Struthio camelus: one gene and its partners. The protein of the gene in region 1 interacts with the protein of each later gene in a pairwise test. Links are inferred from orthologs where the notes say so. Each region holds a gene or a part of one and is shown in the gene's direction. Other genes may lie near its edges.

The links.
Region 2: the proteins of RTN3 (region 1) and RTN4 interact in binary tests that used the Homo sapiens proteins (3 or more experiments, as listed by UniProt). The link is inferred for Struthio camelus from reciprocal best matches to the Homo sapiens genes RTN3 and RTN4.
Region 3: the proteins of RTN3 (region 1) and tyrosine-protein phosphatase non-receptor type 9 interact in binary tests that used the Homo sapiens proteins (3 or more experiments, as listed by UniProt). The two-hybrid records come from large-scale screens. The link is inferred for Struthio camelus from reciprocal best matches to the Homo sapiens genes RTN3 and PTPN9.

The regions. Positions count from the first base shown.
Region 1 is NC_090976.1:1,170,800-1,178,832, reverse strand, and holds the start of RTN3 (reticulon-3), read left to right. Parts: upstream 1-4,956; 5' UTR 4,957-5,039; coding exon 5,040-5,172; intron 5,173-8,033. UniProt on the Homo sapiens protein: May be involved in membrane trafficking in the early secretory pathway. Inhibits BACE1 activity and amyloid precursor protein processing. May induce caspase-8 cascade and apoptosis.
Region 2 is NC_090944.1:118,941,486-118,948,874, forward strand, and holds the start of RTN4 (reticulon-4), read left to right. Parts: upstream 1-4,376; 5' UTR 4,377-4,524; coding exon 4,525-5,014; intron 5,015-7,389. UniProt on the Homo sapiens protein: Required to induce the formation and stabilization of endoplasmic reticulum (ER) tubules. They regulate membrane morphogenesis in the ER by promoting tubular ER production.
Region 3 is NC_090953.1:23,095,605-23,103,137, forward strand, and holds the start of tyrosine-protein phosphatase non-receptor type 9, read left to right. Parts: upstream 1-4,442; 5' UTR 4,443-4,485; coding exon 4,486-4,643; intron 4,644-4,903; coding exon 4,904-5,060; intron 5,061-5,404; exon of another isoform or gene 5,405-5,943; coding exon 5,944-6,048; intron 6,049-6,398; coding exon 6,399-6,495; intron 6,496-7,175; coding exon 7,176-7,273; intron 7,274-7,533. Other genes in the region: SNX33 (sorting nexin-33), read right to left, coding at 1-1,381. UniProt on the Homo sapiens protein: Protein-tyrosine phosphatase that could participate in the transfer of hydrophobic ligands or in functions of the Golgi apparatus.

The DNA.
Region 1 (8,033 bases):
GCCCTCTGACCCCCCCATCCCAAAACGTGGAGGTGGGGGGGGGGGCCCAACCCCTACACGACACATCAGAGGATCCCCTCCCCCCTGCAGCAGGGGGCCCAGGCGTCCGGGCCTCCCACCCCCTGCAGCAGGGGGCCCAGGCGTCCGGGCCTCCCACCCCTACCGCACGCAGAGGCCGAGGGACCCAGGCATCCGGGCCCCTGCCTGGTGCCCTCTGGCCCCGAAATGTGGGGGGGGGACGGGGGGGATCAACCCCTATAGGAGACATCAGAGAACCCCCACCTTTACCCCCCCACTACCGTCCTGCACCTAAGGGACGCCCCACTGCACCCCACTACCATACTGCACCTAAGAGATGCCCCCCCACCCCCAAGGCACCCCACTGCTACCATACTGCACCTAAGAGATGCCCCACTGCACCCCACTACCATACTGCACCTAAGAGATGCCCCCCCACCCCCAAGGCACCCCACTGCTACCATACTGCACCTAAGGGACGCCCCACTGCACCCCACTACCATACTGCACCTAAGAGATGCCCCCCCACCCCCAAGGCACCCCACTGTTACCATACTGCACCTAAGAGATGCCCCACTGCACCCCACTACCATACTGCACCTAAGAGATGCCCCCCACCCCCAAGGCACCCCACTGCTACCATACTGCACCTAAGGGACGCCCCACTGCACCCCACTACCATACTGCACCTAAGAGATGCCCCCCCACCCCCAAGGCACCCCACTGTTACCATACTGCACCTAAGAGATGCCCCACTGCACCCCACTACCATACTGCACCTAAGAGATGCCCCCCCACCCCCAAGGCACCCCACTGCTACCATACTGCACCTAAGGGACGCCCCACTGCACCCCACTACCATACTGCACCTAAGAGATGCCCCCCCACCCCCAAGGCACCCCACTGTTACCATACTGCACCTAAGAGATGCCCCACTGCACCCCACTACCATACTGCACCTAAGAGATGCCCCCCACCCCCAAGGCACCCCACTGCTACCATACTGCACCTAAGGGACGCCCCACTGCACCCCACTACCATACTGCACCTAAGAGATGCCCCCCCACCCCCAAGGCACCCCACTGTTACCATACTGCACCTAAGAGATGCCCCACTGCACCCCACTACCATAGTGCACCTAAGAGACGCCCCCCCACCCCCAAGGCACCCCACTGTTACCATACTGCACCTAAGGGACGCCCCACTGCACCCCACTACCATACTGCACCTAAGAGATGCCCCCCCACCCCCAAGGCACCCCACTGTTACCATACTGCACCTAAGGGACGCCCCACTGCACCCCACTACCATACTGCACCTAAGAGATGCCCCCCCACCCCCAAGGCACCCCACTGTTACCATACTGCACCTAAGGGACGCCCCACTGCACCCCACTACCATACTGCACCTAAGAGATGCCCCCAGTACCCCACTACCATAGTGCACCTAAGAGACGCCCCCCCACCCCCAAGGCACCCCACTGCTACCATACTGCACCTAAGGGACGCCCCACTGCACCCCACTACCATACTGCACCTAAGAGATGCCCCCAGTACCCCACTACCATACTGCACCTAAGAGACACCCCCAGCCCCCATGGCACCCCACTGTTACCGTAATGCACCTGAGAGACAGCCCCAGTGCCTGAATACTGCAGGGCGCCCCCGAGGCAGCCCCAGAGCACCCCACTGCCTCCTCAGCGCACCCAAGAGCCTCCCCCCCGGCGCCACCAGCACCATAACGCCCCTAAGACAGCGCCCCACAGCACCCCAGTGCAAGGCGCTGTATAACCCCCCCCGGCCCTTTTTGGGGGGGCTACCGTAGCGCACCTAAGAGCCGCTCCACGCCAGCCCTCCCGAAAGGCGCCGCGCGTCTTAAGAGCCGAGCGGCGGCTCAAGGCTGGCGGCCAAGCCGGGGAGGCGCCGGGCCAAGGCCTCCCCTCCTCGGGAAGCGGGACACGTCCGCGCCAGGCTGCGGCTGGCCCCGGCCCCGGCCGCGACGGGGAAGCCCTTGGGGGGGGGGGGGAGCGCCCGGGGTGGCACCCGGGGGTCACCCCTCACCGAACGGGGCGCTGGGCGGGACGGTCCCCCCGCTTCAAGGGGTCCTGAAAGCAGGTGGCTGCAGGGGGGGGGGAGGGGGGGTGCTGGGACAGGCCTCCGCCTGCGGCCCCGGGCATGCAGCGAGCTGGCACGGCCTCAGCTGGCCTCGGCACAAAGGGCCCCTTGAAGCAGCACCGGCCGCCCGGATCGGGCCGAATCGAATTAGCCTTCTTTGTTCTCTCCCTAATTAACAGGCGCTAAGCGGCAGGAGGGATTAAATTAAATGCCGGCCTGGGGGGGGGGGCCTCGGACCCCTTCCCCGGCTCGAGGACGGTCCCAGCCCCTTACGAGCCGCTGGAGAATCCCCCCACGGCCCCCAGTGCTCCCAGTCGGGGCTGCCCAGGGGAGCAGGTGGGGGGGGGCCGGGCCCCCCGGGGCGCCCCGGGGCCCCTCTGCCTACGCACACGCGTCGCCCGCACACGCACGCTCCGTGCGCGCAGGCGTGCCGTGCACACGCAGCCCCCCCCCCCCACCGCGTGCCTCCCTCGCACGAGCGCGCGGGGCCTGGCAGCCGCGCCAGCCCGCCCCCCCTCGCACGGGCCTGCACCGCCTCGCACGAGCACCTGCCTTGCACGAGCGCCTGCCTCGCACGAGCGGGTCCCCCTTGCACGAGAGCCTCCCTCGCACGAGCGCGTGCTGCTCCTGGCAACCTCGCCTGGGCAAACAGCGGCAGGCTCGCGCCTGCCCCGCTCTCGCACGCCGCCTCGCACGCTCCTCGCACGCCCCGGCTCCCCGCCGGCCGCGTAAATCATTGACGGGCCGGGGCGGGAGGGCGAAGTCCGGCGCGCCGGGGCCCCGCGACCGTTCACCTCCCGCCCCTGCCCGGCCCCCTATGGGGCCCATATAGGCCCCCCCCCAGCCCCGCGCAGCTGAGCCGCTCGGGGCCGGACAGACGGACGGACGGATGGGGAGCTGGGGACGAGCGGAGCCAAACTGGGGGCACTAGGTTGTACCGGGATGGGGGTCCCGGGCCATATAGGGGCTCCCCATCCCTATAGGGTCGATAGGGGCAGAGCCAGCCCGTATAACGGGACTAGGTCACATGGAGGCTGGTTCCTATAGGGGTTCCCAGGCCTTTACAGGGGCTACCAGCCTCTACAGGGCCCTGGGGGTGGACCCAGCCCATCTAGCAGGGACTGGGGCACATGGGGGCTGGTTCACATAGGGGGCTCCAATACGCGTGAGGGTCCCAGTACATATGGAAGGGTCCATGATCTATAGGTGGAGCAGCTCTCGGACCAGGTCCCAGCCCATATGGAAGGTCTCAAGCCTGAGCAGGTGGGTCCCTGATCCCTATAGGGAGATCCCAGCCCCTATAGGGGTCCCTGGTCCCTATAGGCAGCTCCTAGTCTCTACAGGAGGGTGGCTGGCCCCTATAGGGGTCCCTGGTCCCTATAGAGGGTCCCGGTTCCTATAGGTGGTCCCCGGGCCCTATAGGGGTCCCGGGCCCTATAGGGGGTCCCCGGTCCCTATAGGGGTCCCCGGGCCCTACAGGGGGTCCCGGCCCCTATAGGGGGCTCCTAGTCCCTACGGGGGGGTCCTCGTCCACATGAGGGCACAGGTCACGTGGGCCGGTCCATATTGGGGGGGGGGGTCCCGGACCAGGTCACGTGGGTCCCCGGTCAAGCGGGTTTCGGTCCGCACCGGGAGTCCCGGTTCGTAGAGAGCCGGTCCCGGTTCGGGTCACGTGGGACCCGGTGCACCGGGCCCCCCCCCGCGTTCCGGTCCACGTCACGTGACGGCGCCTCCCGGGTCACGTGAGCCCCGATCCCCCTCCCGCCCCCCGACTCACCGTTCCGCCGCCGCTGCCGCCGCTTCCTCCCCCCGCGTCGCCGGCCGTCCCGTTAGCCCCGCCCCCGGCTCCCCATTGGCCAGCCGGCGCTCCGCCCCAGGCCCCCCCCCAGGCCCCGCCCCGCCGCGCTGTCACTCACCGCTCCCCCCGCGCCCTCTAGCGGCGGGCGGCGGTGGCAGGCGCGCCTCATTGGCCAGCCGCTTCCCGCCTCGCCTCGCTATTGGTCGAAACCATGTCAGTCAAGTCGGGAGGTCCACCCCCCCTTCCCACCTTCCCCTCACCGTGCGCCCGCCGGCGGCCGGGGGGGGAGGGAGGCCGCGGCGCGTGCGAGGGCGGTGATTGGCCGAGAGCGTGGCCAATGGGGGGCGGGCCCGCGTGACTCATTCATGCGGCGGGGCGGGCGGGCGGGCAGTGACCGCAACATCCCGCAGCGCTGCAGCCGCTGCCGGGGGCACCGTATAGCCCGCTCCCTCCATAGGGCCTCTATGCCCTACAGACGACCGTAGGGAGCCACCATCCCCTACAGGGAATACGCTATAGCCCCTATTCCTTTCAGGGGCCACCCTATAGCCCCATCCACCCTGTAGGGGGCCATATAGGCACCCTAGGGGACCGTATGGACAGCGGGGCCCGGCGTGATCCCTAGAGCCGCCTCTACAGGCCGGAGGAAGGGGGGAAACTACAGCTCCCAGCAGGCAACGCGCGTCAGGCGGGCGCCAGTGTCGCGGTGCACGCTGGGAAACAGCGGGTGTCATGGCGACGGGCGCGCCTCACGCAGGCCACCCTTCGCGCCTCGGCGGCCTCGCGCATGCGCGGCGGCGCCCGTCTGCGGGGCGGAGGAGGGGGGGGGAGTGCGGCGCGGGCAGGGCGGGGCGGCGGTCGGCGCGTGCGCGGCGGCGCCCGGCTGCGGCGAGGCGGGGGGAGGGGAGGGGAAGCGGGGCGGGGCGGCGGTCGGCGCGTGCGCGGCGGCGCCCGGCTGCGGGGCGGTGGGGGGAGGCGGCGCGCGCGCGCGGGCGGCCGTTGGCGCATGCGCGCGGCCGCCGCGCCCCGCCCCGCCGCGCGCCCTGTCAGTCGGTGCGCGGCCGCCGAGAGGGACGGACGCTCCTCGCCCAGGCTCCGCGCTCGCCGCCATGGCCGACCCCGCCACCCAGTCCCCCTACATCTCCTCCTCCTCCTCCGCCGCCGGTCACCCCGAGCCCGGCGTCCCTCACCCCCCGCCGGGGGCCCGGGACTGCAAAGGGGCCGGTTCCCCGTCCTGTGCTGGTAAGGGCCCGGGGCGGGGGGGTGGGGCACACGGGGAGGGGCACGGGCTGGGGGGGGGACGCGTTTGGGGGCACGAACACGGGTGGGGGGTTAAGAGCCCTTTCGAGGGGCACGAACGCGGGGGGTGAAGAGCCCTCTCGGGGGACACAGATGGGGAGTGAAGAGCTTTTTTGGAGGGCAAATATGGGGGGAGCAGAGCCCTCTTGGGGGGACGCAGATTGGGGGGTGAAGAGCCCTCTTGGGGGGACGCAGATTGGGGGGAGCAGAGCCCTCTTGGGGGGACGCAGATTGGGGGGTGAAGAGCCCTCTTGGGGGGACGCAGATTGGGGGGTGAAGAGCCCTCTTGGGGGGACGCAGATTGGGGGGAGCAGAGCCCTCTTGGGGGGACGCAGATTGGGGGGTGAAGAGCCCTCTTGGGGGGATGCAGATTGGGGGAGCAGAGCCCTCTTGGGGGGACGCAGATTGGGGGGAGCAGAGCCCTCTTGGGGGGACGCAGATTGGGGGGAGCAGAGCCCTCTTGGGATGCAGATTGGGGGGTGAAGAGCCCTCTTGGGGGGACGCAGATGGGGGGAGCAGAGCCCTCTTGGGGGGACGCAGATTGGGGGGAGCAGAGCCCTCTTGGGATGCAGATTGGGGGGTGAAGAGCCCTCTTGGGGGGACGCAGATGGGGGGAGCAGAGCCCTCTTGGGGGGATGCAGATGGGGGGAGCAGAGCCCTCTTGGGGGGACGTAGATTGGGGGGTGAAGAGCCCTCTTGGGGGGACGCAGATGGGGGGTGAAGAGCCCTTTGGGGGGACGCAGATGGGGGGTGAAGAGCCTTTTTGAAGGGCAAATATGGGGGGAGCAGAGCCCTCTTGGGGGGACAGAGACAGAGGAGTGATGAGCCTTTTTAGGGGGCAAAGATGGGGAGGGAGAAGAGCCCTCGAGGGACACAGATGGGGGGGAACAGAGCCCTCTTGGGGGGGCAAAGATGGGGGGGAGAAGAGCCTTTTTGGAGGGCAAATGGGGGGAGTAGAGCCCTCTTGGGGGGACACAGATGGGGGGATGAAGAGCCCTCTTGGGGGGACAGAGACAGGAGTGACAAGCCTTTTTAGGGGGCAAAGATGGAGAGGGAGAAGAGCCCTCTCGGGGGGCAAAGATGGGGGGAACAGAGTCCTCTCGGGGGGGGACACAGATGGGAGGGAGAAGAGCCCTCTCGAGGGACACAGATGGGGGGGTGGAGAGCCCTCTCGGGGGGCAAAGATGGGGGAAACAGCCCTCTTGGGGGGACACAGCTGGGGGGGAGAAGAGCCTTTTTGGAGGGCAAATGGGGGGGAACAGAGCCCTCTTGGGGGGACCGAGACAGAGGAGTGGCGAGCCTTTTTAGGGGGCAAAGATGGGGAGGGAGAAGAGCCTTCTCGAAGGACAGAGATGGGCCAGTGAAGAGCCCGATGGGGGGGGAGAGCAGCCCCCTTGGGGAGATGGACACAGAGGGTCAAAGAGCCCTTTTGGGGGGCAAATATGGGGGGTGAAGAGCCCTCTTGGGGGAACAGACAAGGTGGTGAAAAGCCCTTGTGGGGGGCACGGATGGGAGGGGGAGGAGAGCCCTTTGGGGCCAAAGACGGAGAGCGTGAGGAGCCCTTTTGTGGTGGAGCCCTCTCGGGGCAAGGATGGAGAGGGAGAAGAGCCCTTTCGCGGTGGTGGGGACACGAGAGGAAAGCTGGCTGACGGGCGGGTGTGATCTCGGGGAGGGGGGACACGGGACCATCTGTGTGACACCTGCCCAAAGGCCCTCTGCGACGGAGGGCTGTGGGTCAGCCGAGGGGGGGGGGTCTCCCCGAGGCCGGGGCTGCAGCAGAGCCGAGGGCGACGCCACGACAAGGGCCACCCATCTGTCGGCGGGGGGGGGGGGTCCGGAAGGGCAGGCAGCAACAGGCCCCAGGGAGGGGGCGCGTCAGGGGTCCGATTTTTGGGGGGCAGCGACACAGACGTCTGGCTTTGGGGGGGGGACGACGAGCTGTGTGGCGTCCCTCCCGCTTCCAGCCCTTTCCCTCGGCGAGAGCCGTCCCGTTTCGCTCCCGCCCCCTTCCCAAAGGGAATATTTCCCCCTCCCAGAAATAAGGGCGAGGGGGCAGCTCCTCCGGCCCCAGGAAGTCCGTCTGACGCGAGACGGACCCTGCGGGAAGGTGGGGGACGCAGCTGGCGGCATGGCACGGCCCCCCTCCCAGGGCAGGTGCTGGGCCGGGGCCCCGGTGAGCCGGGTCCCCCCGACCCCGCCGCGCCGGCGCGGTGCCAAAACCTCCCTTTTGTTCCGCTGGGGCCGGGGTGAAGGGGAGGGGGGGAGCCGATCCGGGAAGGGATCCCGAACAAAGGAGCGTCTGGCTCCAAATCCCCCCTCGCGCGGCGGCGGGGGGAGCCGTGCGGGCCGGCGGCAGGTCGCCATTGTGTCTCCGGCGAGGCCGGGCGCCTCGCGCGGCGCCGAGATCTGCAGTGCGGATGCTTCCCAGGAGGGCTGAGGGAGGGGGCTGGCGGGCGAGGGCCGCCGGTGGCGGAGCCGCTCGGAAAACCCATCCTTGGAACAGGAGCGAACCGGCAGAAAGCGACAAATAGGAGCGTGCCGGGGTTTTTTGGTAGGGCGTCGGGTGGGGAGGCGCCGACGTCGGATGCTCGGCAAAGCGCCGGCGATGGGAAGCTCCCTGGCGGTTCGATCCCGGGGGGCCGCGGTGGGCTTGCGAAGCCGGGAAGCAAGCTGGGAAGCAGCCGGCGGGAGCAGGGCGGTTACGGAGCATCCCGCTCCCGGGCTCAGCCGGCTGCTTCGCCCTCCGGAGCCGCCTGTCCCTGCGCTTCGCCCTCCGGATAAACCCCTCGCCGGGGTGATCCCCG
Region 2 (7,389 bases), on another chromosome or scaffold:
GAAGAGGATTCCCTAGATCTACGAATTTGCAGCTACAGCTAATGGCAACTTTGCACTCCTGGCTGTCGGTGTAATTTAGAGCTGCTCTTAAATTACTTTCCTTTCTGCAGGTGGACTGGCTCAGCACCTGTCTGGCTGCCTGAAGGAAGCTTTTAAAGAAAGTCTGCGACAGATCTGAGTAAGAAAACTGTATATTGCCATGGTTACTAATACATTTACTGTAGAAATGGACTGTTTTGATTTATCAAGATGATTTTTGGGGGGAAAAAAATCACAAACTAGAAAAATTGGCTCAACTCAAGTGAGCCCACAGTAAACTCCTAAGGGATGTTAGAAACAATTCCAGGATCAGAAGAGCCTGGAACACAAAAGAACACAAAAGACTCAAAAAATGACTTTCTCTCAAGAAAGTATTAATTATTTAAGAGGACCAGGCTGAAACGCAGGCCCCACAGGAGACTCTGATAAAGTTAAACCTGCCTCAGTTACCATCAAGAGATGGCAATCCCTCTGCGCATACTGTGGTTTTAACAAATTTTTCCCTCCATGTGCTGCATTTGTATTACTAAACTACGCAGTGGTTTTGTCACCGTATCCGACTACTGATCTTGCAGAGCAGTACAACGGCTGTTCAAGCCTCGACAAAACTGATGGGTAAATATGCTTGATGCCCAAGGCACTGCAGCACAGGCATGATCTGAAAGCAAAAGACTGGCAGGGTTTCATTCTTCCACAGATAAAGACATGATGCCTGAAAGCTGAAGGACTGTACACTGAGCTTAAGAGAGAGACAGAAATCCAATTATCACTGCGAGTTTTAACTGTGTGTTTGTAAACTACCTTCTGAGACCAAATGCTTTTTTCTGTTTGATCCTGCTATGAAGTCATAATACTGGATTTGTCATGTCACAATTATTTTCCTAGTGATAGTCTGTGATATGCTATGATATCATGTTACTTCTGTGTAAGATCAAACAGAAGGTCACAGTGGATAGTGAAGAAGAAAATCCAACTAATGCATAGCTATTGTCAGCATTGCTACAGAAATACAGAAACATACCAACCAGTGTTTCTTTTCATGCACTCAGTGCTTTTCTTCACAAGGGTGTTATATCTGAAAACTTCTCATGAAGAACTAAGTTCGTAAATTAACTTGCTAAATATCCGCACAGTAGTCCTACTTGCTGATAATCTTCAAGTAAGAAATGTAAAATAGTCTTCTAAAGAGCAAAAAGAAAGGGAGTTTTGCAATGCATATTCAGAAGTGGAGAGCTGTGCTTTCCTCTCGCTGGTTAATTTGACTTGCTCAGGCTATGTGGAACTCCCTTCCTGTTTCCCTTCAAGACATTGAGTCACTTCCTTTCTTTAAATGAAAAACCCTTTCATTTCTCTTTAACTGATGATGGATTCTCTTTCAAGCATTCTGATAAAATCAACTGAATTATACATAGATTTTCCTACTCCTAGATGACTAAAATCGTTGCAGTTAGATATGTTAAAATTAGAGCGACAGCGCTGTCTATACTCAGAATTTTACAAATTATTGAAAGCAGCTTGTTCTCTAAGAGTATATTTTAATGAAATTTTAATCTCTTGTTTAACCAACAGATGAGAAATTTTAGATTTGCAGGTGAAATGGTAATTTATTCAAATCACTTTTATTTGCTATACAAGGAATAAAATTTGCAACACAAGAATGAAAGTATATTTATTTTCCTGGGATGTAATAGACTGATACACAGAAAAGTTGAATTTGCTTCTAGTAAAACATTTCTGTCCCAGTCAGCTACTGGTGAAAGGGGTAAAAATGCCACTGAAGATTTCACAGTCGTATTCATTGACAAGGTCATTGCATCTGGCCTGTTTTTTAGCATAGATAGAAGCACAGGATTGTTACTACTTTCTTAATGCAATTTACTACATTAATTTTAAGCCCCCTCAAAGTGGAAAAATCTGAGAATTTGCATTTCCCCAAACTGAGTGTTGCCCCCCACGTATATTCTCCAAATTTACTAGCTGGTAGGAAAACGGAGGAAGTATTGTTAAGATTTTCTTTGTATGTACTTGTGCTGTGGCTACTGCTGTAAGACACTGGGTAGACCTATCAATAGGTAAGTAAAAAGAAGACTGAAGATGTCAGTTGATATATTAAACCATGATCCAAATTCACTGCTGGTGCAGTGAAGTGGAATTACTGGAGGTACAGTCCTGGAGTTACAGCAGGGATTTTGGGCTGTGATCCTCCATGCGATCTGCCATGTCAAAAATACCATTCGGGGATAATTGATGTAATTCTAGGTGAAGTTCAAGGTTCAAATGTGAGCTTGCTGAGCTAAACATTGGTTTAAACTCTGTCCTAGGTAGTGTAATATAAATTTCAGTAAGGATGAGTTGAGCCGCTAGGCCAATTCTTTTATTTGCACATATGCAGTTCATTGACTGTAACAGAGCTGTAACAATAAAACTAGGTACAGAATTTAGCCATTTACTGTATGGAAAAACTTACTTGTTTTATATTTAGCAATACATTAATTTTAATCCATCTGTCCTGCTGCCTTTATCCATCTGTCCTGATGCCAACAGCCTTTATTATTATGTCACTGTAAGAGGGCTGACTTGAAATGTCCATGGATAAACTATCAGTAGAGAATAAAAAAAATCCTAGGGAGAAAGAATGAAGTCTAAAGAACTTACAGACTGTTACCTGCTTATTCACGTGCTGTGAAACTTTGTATCTCTATTGCCTTCAGTGTATTCACAAAATTACTTTCCACTTTCCGTATTTCCTTTAGTCATTTCTGATCGAGGCAGGGAACACTGATGTCTTCTACTGATGGCCGAAGGCTCCCCTGCATTTTTCATCCGAAAGGCAGCAGCTCCCACCGCATGGATACCTTGAGATATGCTAATCGGGACCCCTCCTGAGACTTTCCTCATGTCAAGCAGTAAGTCAGGGGAAAAGATTCATTTTGCTTAGTGGGACTGCTGCCACGCGTACGTATCTTTGCACACATCGCATCACAGCAGAACGGGCTCTGCAGCGATAAGAGATTTGTCGTGCCTTCTTCTTAAGTTACGCAACACTGAATTTGCGGTTTCCTTCCTCTGAATACTTTCCATGAACTAATTTCTTTACGTAGCGACATATGGGAGAATAAATCATTTGTGGGATTAAAAATCCATAGTAACGTCGGAGAAGGGCAAATACAGAATTGCAGGCCCCTTTGCTCTAGCTGCGGTGGCTATATGGGTGGAAATCACATCCAAATGTATGCCATGCCAGTTAAATCAAGCGTCACCCTGAGGGCTTCGGCCAGTGCTCCAGCCCCGGGTCGGAAAACAAAGAACTAACACACAGAGGCCGGCGTGAATGTTTTGCTTTGTGAACGAGCGGCTAATGTTTCCCTGCACCAGTCGCACAGTTTAAAATCACATTTTCAAGCGACGGTTAAATCCGTTCAGGCGGCTGATTCACCCCGGCCTGAGCGGACAAACAAGCTTACCTGAGCTGTAAACGTCGCCTCCCCGCGCAGCCAGTGGATTCCCAGTACCCTTCTTTTAGACAATTTCCTTTTTTTTTTTTTTTGGCACCATGTTTTGGTTAATTTTTGGTTCATGTCCCAGCCCCCACCCCCACCCCCCGCCGGGGCGATGTCCCCGGCTGCGCCGCTGCGGGCCAAAACGCGTCAGGCGGCTCCGCGCCCCCGGCCTGCGGGAGCCCCGCGACATCCTCTCCTCGCCCCAAACCGCGGGTGTCCGGAGCGCGGGAAAAAACAAACAACCCCCCCCCCCAAAAAAAAAAACACCCAAAAACCCGAATATCAACAATTAAAACGCCCCGGCAGACGGCAGAGATGACTCACGAGCCGCCGGCCTCGGCCGCGGCAGGCTGCGGACACCGCCCCGGACCGCGCCGGGCACGTTTGGGCCGGGCCGGGCCGGGCCGTGACGCAGCCCCGCTCCCCTCACACCGGGGCCCCGGCGGCAACGCGGCCCCCGGGCACCACGGGGCGGCCCCGCCCCTGCCCGCGGGGGCCGGGGGCCGCGGGAGCCCGGGGGCGGGGCCGGGCGGGGCCGGGGGCGGGGCCGGCGCTCCCCTCCCCCCCCGCCGCGGCCCCGCCCCGCATTCTCCGCACTGAACTTTACCCAACTTCGCCCCCCCCCCCAACCCCGGCGCAGCCCGCCCCCCCCCTCGCTGAGTATTCGTGAGGCGACCACACCCCCTCTCCCCCGGCGCCGCGCCTCAGTGGCCAGCGCTGGCGCCTCGCGGCTGCCCCCGCCGCTCCTATTGGCCGGCGGAGCAGTCGCTCGCCGGTGGCCCCTCCCGCGCGGGCGGGGGCGGGGCGGGGCGAGGCGGTGGCGCTGCGCCGGCGTCTCCCCCCGCGGTGACTCAACAGGGCGTGGAGGCTGGTCCCGCAGCGGCGGCGGCGCAGCCCTCGCCCTCCCCCCGCGGCAGCCACCGGAGCCGGCAGGCACAGCCCAGCCCAGCGCCGCGCACTCATTGTTCCGCCAGCTCCGGGCACCATGGACGAGCTGGACCAGTCCCCCCTGGTCTCCTCCTCCTCTGGGCCGGTACGGCCGCAGCAGCCCCAATTCAAGTACCAGTTCGTGCTGGACGACGAGAAAGACGAGGAGGAGGAGGAGGAGGAAGAAGAGGAAGAGGAGGACGAGGATGAAGACTTCGACGAGCAGCTGGAAGTGATGGAGAGGAAGCCCGCCGCGCCTCCCGCCGCCGCCCAGCCGGAGCGGCCGCCGCAGCTGCTGGACCTCGGCGGAGCCGCCGAGCCGCCCCGCCCCGCCGCCCCGGAGCCGCCGCAGCCGGACCGAAGCTCCCCGGGCGTCGTCTCCGTCTCCTCCTCCTCCTCCTCCACCTCCGCCGCCGCCACGCCGTCCCCCGCGCAGGAGCAGCCGCCGGCCCCCGCCCGGCCCGCTCACCCGCTGCCGACCAAGCCGGAGCCCCCCGCCGCCGCCGCCACCGCCCCCCGGAGAAGGGGGTCCTCCTCCGGCTCGGCCGGTGAGTGCCTGCGCGCCGGGGCCGGGCAGGGCCGCGGAGCCGCCCCGGGGGCGGGGGGCGGCGGGTCCTCGCAGGCGGTCCGGCTGCCCGCTCCCGCCGGCGGGCTGCCGGCCTGCCTTTGTCTGCCGCCCCGCGGCCTCCCGCCGCCGCCCTGGGGCGCGGCTCCCCCCCCCCCCCCCCCAGCCCGCTCGGACCGGCTCGTTTGGGGAAAAAGGGTTTTTCTTTTTTTTTCCTCTTTTTTTTTTTCTCCCCTTTCTTCCCCCTCTCTCTCTCCCCCCTTTCCCCTCCCCTTCTCTCTTTCTTATGTTAATGGCGGGAGGGGGAAAGCGCCGCCGCGCCTCGCACATGTTCCGCCCGGGGGCGAGGCCGCAGTGCCCGCCCCGCCCCACCCGCCGCCGCCGCCGCCTGGCAACGGCCGCGTCGCGCGGCGCCGCCGCGGGGGGTGGGCGGTGGCGGCGGGGGGCCCTGAGGTAACGGCCGCCGCCGGCTTGGGTCGAGGCGGTTCGGGCTGCGGCCCCTTGCGCCGCGGGCGGAGGGCGCGGGAGGCGCCTGCCCTGGTCGTGTCGCCCCCGCGGCGCCGGGGACGCTGGCTCGCCGGCAGGGCGGTCGGCGGCGGTGAGATGGGCGCCCGCCCCTCTGCCTGCGGGATGCTGAGCCGCCCTGTGGCGTCGGCGGCGCCCGTGACCGGCGGCGTGAACGTACTGCGGCCCTAGAAATATCTCTTGGGGCGGGGTGGGGGGGGCGGGGAACGTGCAAAGTATTTTTAATCTTAGTCGTTTCAAACAAGTCACCTTCCTGGGAGGGATGAGGGAGAGGAGTTAAGGGTCATCTCCTTCCTTAAACCTACCTCATGAGGGCTTGCAGCCAGGCAAAAGGTGACTTGATGGGTGGCTCTCTCTGCGGGCTTGGCAAAGCGTGCAGCTCTTTTGTGAATAGTCCTTTGTGGTAGTGCTCTTCTGCTTCAAACAATGAATCTTAAATCCCACAGGAAAAGAAAAATGTGAGCTGGTAAAGTCTGCATGCAAGCACAAAAGGCACATAGAAGACATGTTGCTGTAGGTGTGGTAGCATTGGAAAAAAACGCCAGCCTCACATCATGCGTATGCCCCCAGCTTGAGATCCTGGACAGTCACAAATAGCCACAGCTGGGGCTTGGGACTTGTGTGGAGAGAGTACCTCCAAGTACCTCCACTAAGAGACGGCCCCTTAATGTTGGGGTGCTGCCTAGGTCAAGGCTGTTGTACTGGAAGGCGTGCTACCCACTGAGCAATCGTCAGCACTGCTAAAATACCAAAACCCTTGCAAGGTCTCTAATCCAGGGGCTGACCAGGGATGACTAATGCGTTGCATATGCTGATGGCAATTGTATCTTGGCTCCACTTGCACTTAGTTTGAAATACAAGAGCTAATTTGAGGTGATTAACACAGTGAAAACAAACAAAATCGAGGTGCCTTCTTATGAAGACAGTAGTTTCTTATCTTAATTACTATTGTCTTACTGGTGCATTTGTTTTAAAAGATGGAGAATTTCCACGATGACTTGATATCAAGGTATGAATAAAAGTGATACTCAGAGTTTAATTAAAACCTAGAACACAATAAAAAGTCTTTCTTAAACATGAATTTAATTTTGTTTTCTGGGAGTTTTCACAATGCGTTTTGTGTATGTGAGAATGATTGTGCTATTTTCTTTCAGGAAGTCTAGATGCTACTGTTTTGTTCTTTTGCTAGCTCTCAGAGTAACAGTATGCTGCGGAGACTTCTTTCATTTCCACCATTTGGAGGGCAGATATTCACACAAACTTGCAAAAGATTTATGAGGAGGGATAATGTATGACAGGTGAATAGAAATTTTTCTGGGTAAGTTGTTTGGGTGGAGCAGTGGAAAGTGTGAGCAGAACGGAGTGGAAGGAATGGGGTCAACCAAATCTTGCTGTTGCTCTGAAAAGTAGGGATAAAAGCATGTTTTCTAGAACTGTTTTGTTTTTTGTTTTTCTTTTTTCTGCTCCCTGCCCCCAGAAAGGGAAGGCAGAAAGCAGAATAATTCCTGAACTGTTTCTTTTCAAGAGTAGGTAGAGTGAAGGAGGCATAATTGTGGTGCATGAGAGCTGGGTAGTGCAGGTGAGAAGTGATGTAAAAGATTCGTTGCTTGTGACACAGGTGCCGTGTTTGCCTAATGATGGGTTAGGACATAATAGGCTTATATTTTAAGCACTTGGAACTACTAAATGAAGACAATAAAATAGTCTTCCATCAGAGGAAACCAAAATATTCATGACGTGTCTAGACAATACTTTAGTCAAACAGTTTATGTGTTAAGCATGTTAAGTATCCATTAAACATCAGCTTTTCTTTGGTTTTGCACCAAAAATGGT
Region 3 (7,533 bases), on another chromosome or scaffold:
GAGTGTCCAGCATGAGGAACAGGTCGTTCTTGGGCTGCTCAGCAAACATCTCCCCCACGGTCTCGTACGTCTTGCCCGTGTGGGAGATGGCGTTGTTGAGGGCGTCTGAGCTGTACGGGGGGTCCATGTGGAAGGAGTAGCTGATGGCTTGGAAAGCATTGCCGAGCTTCTGGAACTCCTTGCGGAAACCCCCCACGTGCTTGCGCACCAGCTCCGAGGCCACGTTGGTCAGCTGCAGGACGCTGTCGTCCATCTTCTTGCTGAAAGCCTTGAAGGCATCCACACGGTCCTCCACGTCCTGCAGGTCCTGGTGCTCCGTGGGGATCTGGAGGGTGAGCAGGAAGCTGGCCCCCACCATCTCGTCCTTCTCTGCCCGCCGTTTGCCCAGCTTCCACTGCTTCTCATCGCGGCAGCAGAGGAAGTGCTGGAAGCCCTCATACTGGGAGAGGACGGGGTGGCTGGTCATGTGGTCCATCCACAAGATCAGCCGCCGTTTGCGCTTCTCAATGAAGTCCTCCTCAAAGCGGCCGGTGGCCTGCTTCTCAGGCAGGTGGGGCACCGAGATCACCGTGAACTTGTGCAGGAGGCGGTTGTACAGCCAGTCAAAGTGCTTGTACCGCCGGTAGACGGGAGAGTTGATGTTGCTGGGGGTCAGCTTGTAGGAGATGTAGCTCTTGATGCCTTTGAATTTGGTTTGCTTGGTTGGGTCCTCCACGGAGCAGATGAAGGGGTGGGGATTCGCCCGCCACTGGGGGCCTTTGGAGCCCATCTCAATGCAGTACACCTCTGCGATCTTGGACATCAGAGGCACATCGCCCAGGATGAAGGCTTCCACCCCAGAGCGGACGAAGCAGGAGAAGCGGTTGAGGTTCCTCCCCACCACGCTGCCCCTCTTGGAGGAGCTCATGCTGTCCTGCCTCTCCAGCGCCGGCTTGGGGCGGTAGCCGGCGTGCTGGTGCGAGTAAGCCGTGGGGTACTGCAGCGTGGGCGAAGGGTGCCCATTGGTGCCTGGAGTGCTCCGAGGCTCCTCCACCACTGTGCAGGCATCATCCCAGTCATCCCAGTCGTCGTCATCGTCGTCCTCAAAACTGCCCTGGTAGGAGACACTGGGGTTGGTCGGAGCCACGTAGAAGGAGGAGTCGTGCCCAGGGGAGCCGGCGGGGCTGTGAGAATAGTCCGTATAATTGGAGCCTGACCTGGACCGGAGGATTTCGACATAGGAGGCAGGGAAGAGGCCTGTCTCTCCGCGGCTGTTTTTACCCTGTAACCACCCATCCAGGGAGTTCTCGCTGAAGATCACGAGCTCCTCGTTCTCCTGGATGCTGATTTCCTCTTTGTTTTCGCTCTGGAAATTGTAAAGTGCTCTGGCTTTCAACGCCATGGCCGTTCCCAGGGGGACGGTGTAACTCAATCCCCGCAGCAAAAAAACAACAACAACAAAAAAAACAATAAACCAACAACAATACCTCCAGATAGTCCAAGGGTCGCTGCTAGACCCAGCCGTCACGCACTTCAGTGGCTTGGGACCTGCTACCGAGCTGTGGGAAAAGGCTTAGCCGATTTCACACAGAAATAAAAAAGATATAAATCCTCTAACATCTGACACCAAGGTCTGTACATTCAAGTAACTCCAGCGATCTAAGTGCACCAATTTAAGAAAACATTCCTTGGGCAACCAAAAAACATGTTTCGTTCCACTCCCTCCTTCTACGTGATATAAACCTCGGCCGGACAAACAGACATCCCGAAGTCTGCCATTTCCCCGGAGCTTTTATCTTGCTGGGTCGTTGGTCCCGCCGCCGTCTTGGTTTTAACTTACGTTAAGAAAAGATCTTGATCCAAATTAGGAAATCCAAAGTGACTTTCACAGGACTCTTCTTCGAGATCCGTGTTTAAAATACACAAATTCACTTCCCAGCGAGGAAATCCAGCGCAGCTCGGAGTCAGCGGGCGCCTGGAAATCGCCGGGAAGCAAACCCAAACACAACACAACCTCCCGGTGATCCCAGCACAAGTATTTTGCAATTCCTTTCCGGGAGGCCTTTTTTTTTTTTTTTTCTCACGAAATCCGCAGACCTCTAGTGGGACGGACGGACGGACGGACGGACGGACGGGCGGGCGGGCGGGCGCAGAAGGAAAAGGGGGAGCAGCGAGCCCAGCCCGGCCGGGGCAGCTGGCGGCGCCGGTCCCGCCGCCGCCGCGGTCTCCGCCGCCCGGTGCCCGGTGCGCGCTGCGCGGCCGCTGCGGAGCGGGGACGGCGGGCCGCGGGGCCGCCCTCAGCGCATGGCCGGGCACGGGCTCCCGGGGCCCCGCCGCCGCCGCCGCCGCCGCCGCCGCCGCCGCCGCCGCCGCCGCCGCCGCCGCCGCCCGGGCTGCGCTGCCGCTGCCCGGTGTCGGTGCCGCTTCTGCTGCCGCTGCCCGTCGCCCGCTGCCGCTGCCGGTGCCGGTGCCGGGCTCGCCGCAGCCCGCCGTGCCGTGCGGCAGCGCCCAGCTCCCCGGTTTGCGGCCCGGCGGCGGCGGGCAGGGCCCGGCAGGTCGCACGCTGCCCTCTGCAGGCGCCGGCCCGGCGGGGCCCCGCCGCCGCCGCCCCCGCCGCCGCCGCCGCCGCCGCCGCCCCGGCCTCCCCGGCCCGGCGCCCCCGGCCCGCATGGCCCCGACGTCCCCGCCCCCGGGGTCCCGGTGCCCCTGTCCCACATGTCCCCAACATCCCGTCCCCGGGGTCCCAGCACCCCTCTCCCAGATATCCCCAACGTCCCTGCCTTGGGGTCCCAGTGCCCCTGGCCCGCATGTCCTGCATGTCCCTGCCCCGGGGTCCTGGTGCCCCTGGCCCACATGTCCCTAACGTCCTTGCCCCCAGGGTCCCAGCACCCCTGTCCCACATGTCCCCAATGTCCCCGTCCCCGGGGTCCCAGCACCCCTGTCCCACATGTCCCCAACGTCCCCGTCCCCGGGGTCCCAGCACCCCTGTCCCAGATATCCCCAACGTCCCTGCCTTGGGGTCCCAGTGCCCCTGGCCTGCATGTCCTGCATGTCCCTGCCCCGGGGTCCTGGTGCCCCTGTCCCACATGTCCCCAACGTCCCTGCCCCGGGGTCCTGGTGCCCCTGTCCCACATGTCCCCAACGTCCCTGCCCCCGGGGTCCTGGCGCCCCTGTCCCGCATGTCCCCAACATCCCCGCCCCCGGGGTCCTGGTGCCCCTGTCCCGCATGTCCCCAACATCCCCACCCCCGGGGTCCCAGCACCCCTGTCCCACATGTCCCCAACATCCCCACCCCCGGGGTCCCAGCACCCCTGTCCCGCATGTCCCCAACGTCCCCGCCCCCGGGGTCCTGGCGCCCCTGTCCCGCATGTCCCCAATGTCCCTGCCGTTTCCCAGCGCCATCGTCCTCCCCTTCCCACTTTGCAGGCAGCCTTCCCCATCCGCACCCGCGGGGGGTGTCTGCCGTGGGGCGCTGGGCCTGCCCCCCACTCGTCCTTGTGCCATGGGCTGCCCGGCACTGCCTGCTTCCCAGAGCCACCGTCCCACGCCCGACCGGAGGGCCCGCGGGGGCACTGGCGGTGGTGGCTGCCCCGAAGGCACCCAGGGGGCACCCACAGCACGTCCCCCCCCGGGCCAGGGCCAGGGCCCGGGGGCAGGTAGCGTGTCATGGGGCAGGCAGGGCGCTAAGGGACGGCGCTACGGGGCAGTGCTGTGGGGCAGAGCTTTGGGGCCAGCGGGGTGTCAAGGGGTAGTGCTAGGGGGCAGGCAGGGTGCTATGGGGTGATGTTATGGGGCCGGCAAGGTGCTGTGGGGGGATGGCGGCACGATGGGCAGTTCTGTGGGGCCAACAGAGCGATGTGGGGCTGACGACTGCGCTGTGGGGCAGGCAGGGCCCCGTGGGGCCGGCGGGGGCCGAGGGCAGCGCTGTGGGGTCGGCGGGGCTCCGTGGGGCCGGCGGGGGCCGCGGGCAGCGCTGTGGGGCCGGCGGGGCTCCGTGGGGCTGGCGGGGGCCGCGGGCGGCGCTGTGGGGCAGGCAAAGCCCCATGGGGCAGGCAGAGAGAGGCCATAGGCAGCACTGTGGGGCAGGCAGGGCCCTGTGGGGCCGGCGGGGCCCCGTGGGGCTGGCGGGGGCCGCGGGCGGCGCTGTGGGGCGGGCGGGGCCCCGTGGGGCAGGCAGAGAGAGGCCATAGGCAGCACTGTGGGGCAGGCAGGGCCCCGTGGGGCCGGCGGGGCCCCGTGGGGCCGCGGGCGGCGCTGCGCGTATGATGATGGCGGCGCTGGGGCTGATGGCGGAGCCGGCAGGGGGCGGGGCGGGGCCGGCAGGGGGCGGGGCCGGCAGGGGGCGGGGCGGGGCTGTGCGCGCCCCCGCGCGGCCTGACCCGCCACATCCTGCCCGGTGCCGCCTGTCCCTCGGCGGGCGGCGGCGCGGCCGGAAGTGCGTCAGGCGCGCGGGCGGAAGGGGCGGGCGGCGGCGCGGGCAGTGCGCGTGCGCGGGCCGGCGTTGCCATGGAGGAGCTGAGCGAGGCGCTGGCGGCCCGCGTCGCCGTCTCGGCGGCGCCCAACAGCCCGGCGGCGCCGCACCCCCGCTTCGCCGCCTACAAGGCCCGCGGCCGCGGCCTGGGGCAGGCCGAGCGCCGCCAGCGCCTCCTCCGCCTCCAGCGAGCGTAAGGGCCCGCCGGGGCCGCGCCGCGGGCAGGGGGGCGGCCGGGCCGGGCCTGGGCCGCGGCCGGGCGGCGGGGGCGAGCCCGTCCCTCCGTCCGTCCGTCCCGCGGCTCACGGGGGCGGGGGGCGGTTGCGGGGACTGCGCCTCCTCCCGCCCTCCCTAGCGGCGGAGGGGTAGCCAGCCCCTAAGGAGCGCGGAGGGGCAGGGAAGTGCCCGGCCGCCTGCCGCGGAGGCAAAGCAGGACTGTTTTCTCCTCGGCAGGAGGCGGCTCGACTACGTGAACCATGCCAGGAGGCTGGCAGAGGATGACTGGGCAGGAGTCGAGAGCGAGGAGGAAGAGGAGGCGGAGGAAGGTGCGAATGAGGAGGAGATGGAGGTGGATGTTCCTCGGAAGCTGCCCAAGCGCTATGCCAATCAGGTGAGGAGCTGTCCCCATCCCTGTGACAGGGTGGGGATGGGGCTGCGGTGCTGAGCAAGGTGACGAACGTGGCGAGGTTAACGTTGTGGGGGGTCGCGGTGAATATATTCCTGTCTGGCGTGCTCTAGGTGATGGGTGTGTTGGGGCTGAGAGCAGTGTGTCCTAGCTGGGTGCTCAGTGCAGAACCACTACTCATCTCTCTTTCCTCTGAGACGTGCTGTCTTCAAATGGAGGACAGGCTGAGATGGATTGGCTGGGTTCCTTGCGAGATTTCAGCTCTGCTAGAGACACTTATGTCCCACTGTGCAATACTTGATTAAAGATTCTATCTCTCCTCCCATCAGGTACAGCTGGAGAGGAAGGGAAACCTCAACTGATGGGTGTTTTTAGCCTTGGCACTATATTGGTTCTAAAAGACCTACAGCCTCCCAGGTGATCATAGCCAGGAAATCTCAGGGGTCTGAAGAGGCTCACTTGTCTAGTCCCTTTACTCCTTTATTTAGCAATCTCTAAGGTCTGCTGCATATTTAAAATAATAATTAAAAAACAACAACAACAACAAAGGGCTGAAGCGAGGCTGGAAAAGGGATTAAGGTACTGGGATGCAAAAGTGAGTACTGTGGGTCTTGTGCTGTACTCTGAATTTCAGCTGGCAGCTGGGAAGTAAGAGAAAGGCTTGGGGGAAGAGTTTGTTTTGCAGGTTGGTTAGAAGGAGCCATGCTCCTATGGTGCTGTATTGCAGGGTGATGAGCAATACACATTGCCTCTGTGGCACCCAGTATAAACCAAGTCAAAACCTTCTTGCTTTGTTCTTGAGCTGTGAGTTTTCCATAACTTCAGGAGAGCTGTTACTAACTGCCTTTTTGGGGGGGTTTCTCCTCAGCTGATGCTGTCTGAGTGGCTGGTAGATGTCCCTTTGGATCTGGAGCAAGAGTGGGTTGTAGTGGTGTGCCCCACAGGGAGAAGGGCACTGGTTGTGGCATCCAAGGTAAGAGAGAGCAGTGGTGAAGTCTCACCACCTGGTAAAGGACCTGTATGTGTCTGTTACGTCATCATGCCAACATGACATGAAACCAAAGGCTGGCCTGTGTGTCTTGCCTGCCTTGTGCTGTGGGAGCCGTGTGGGGCTGAAACTCTCCTTGAACTGAAAGAATTTGGGCGCTGAGAGATGTGGTAGTAACAGAGCCGTATCTAATGGTGAGTACTGCTCTCCTCTGACAGGCTGCTTGGAGGTGGTTGTAACGGAGACCTGGGTTTCAAAGCCTTGGGTGCAGTCAGACGTGTGGCATGAGAGCAGGGAGACTGGCCTTGACTTTTCTCTCTCCCACTTCCTTGCAGGGCTCAACAGCAGCTTACACCAAGAGTGGCTTCTGTGTCAACAGGTTCCCGTCCCTGCTGCCGGGTGGGAACCGGCACAATTCGCTAAATGAGAAAGGTAATGATCTGAAGAGGCCATTGAAATAGATGAAGGAGAACAAGCCTGCTTCTCCGTGTGTGTGTGTGTGTCTGCCTGCATGACAGGCTCAGTGCTGCTCCTCCAGCTCCCGCAGGCCCAGCAGAGCTGTACCCTTTTCTGGTGCCAGGGATTATTAGCTTCAGCCCTGTTCGTGAATCTGTGGGGATAACTAGACATGGACGATCTCGGACACCTTTATGCTACACAAGAACAACTTTTTATCAGCTGCCTGCTCACCTGATGCTCTTAAACCTCAGCATCTTCCTCCCTTTTAAGTACCAGAGCTGTGTACAGTATCTTTCCAGTGACCCCTTGGTGCTGATGTTTCTCAAGTTAAAGGGTGTAGCTTTTCTTGCTAAGAAGGAGGATGGCCTTTCTCAATATCCCATACAGTTGCATTGCTTGCCCTGAGGAGGGTTTATCAATGGATAGGTGCCTTATTCTGAAATGTGCTTTTGATTGAAGTTCTTGAGCTTGCGGGGCTCTTAAAGCTAAGCTTTTTGTGGTCATGCCTTCTGTTCAGCAGAAGGGAGTCTCTGCCTGTCTCAGGCTTCCATCAGTGCTAGGGTTTAATGCAGGAGAGATTTGATCTAATTAAATTGCCTTTTGGGTTTGGTAGTATCTGGAGCGTGTCTGGATCTCCCTGTGTCTGTGTGCAGTTTACAGCATCTTGGACTGCATCTACAATGAGGCGCAGCAGACGTACTATATCCTGGATGTGATGTGCTGGAGAGGACACCCTGTTTACGACTGCCAGGTACTGAATCCCTCCCGTGTGCCCTGGTCTCTTTTTTGTCACCTGTTCTGTGAGCCGCTCTGCAGCCGGAGCTGGATGCAGCCCATTGTGCAGAAGGATGAATCTTTCATCTAAATGCCAGCATCTTTACAGCTTGTGGGCCAGCGGTTACTGGAATAACTGGGCAAACCTTTTGGGGATGCCAGGGAAGCTCACAGAGTTTGGGGTGCTGGTTGGTTCTACAGGGCTGAGCTGAATTTTTAAATCTCCTGGGCAGGTGT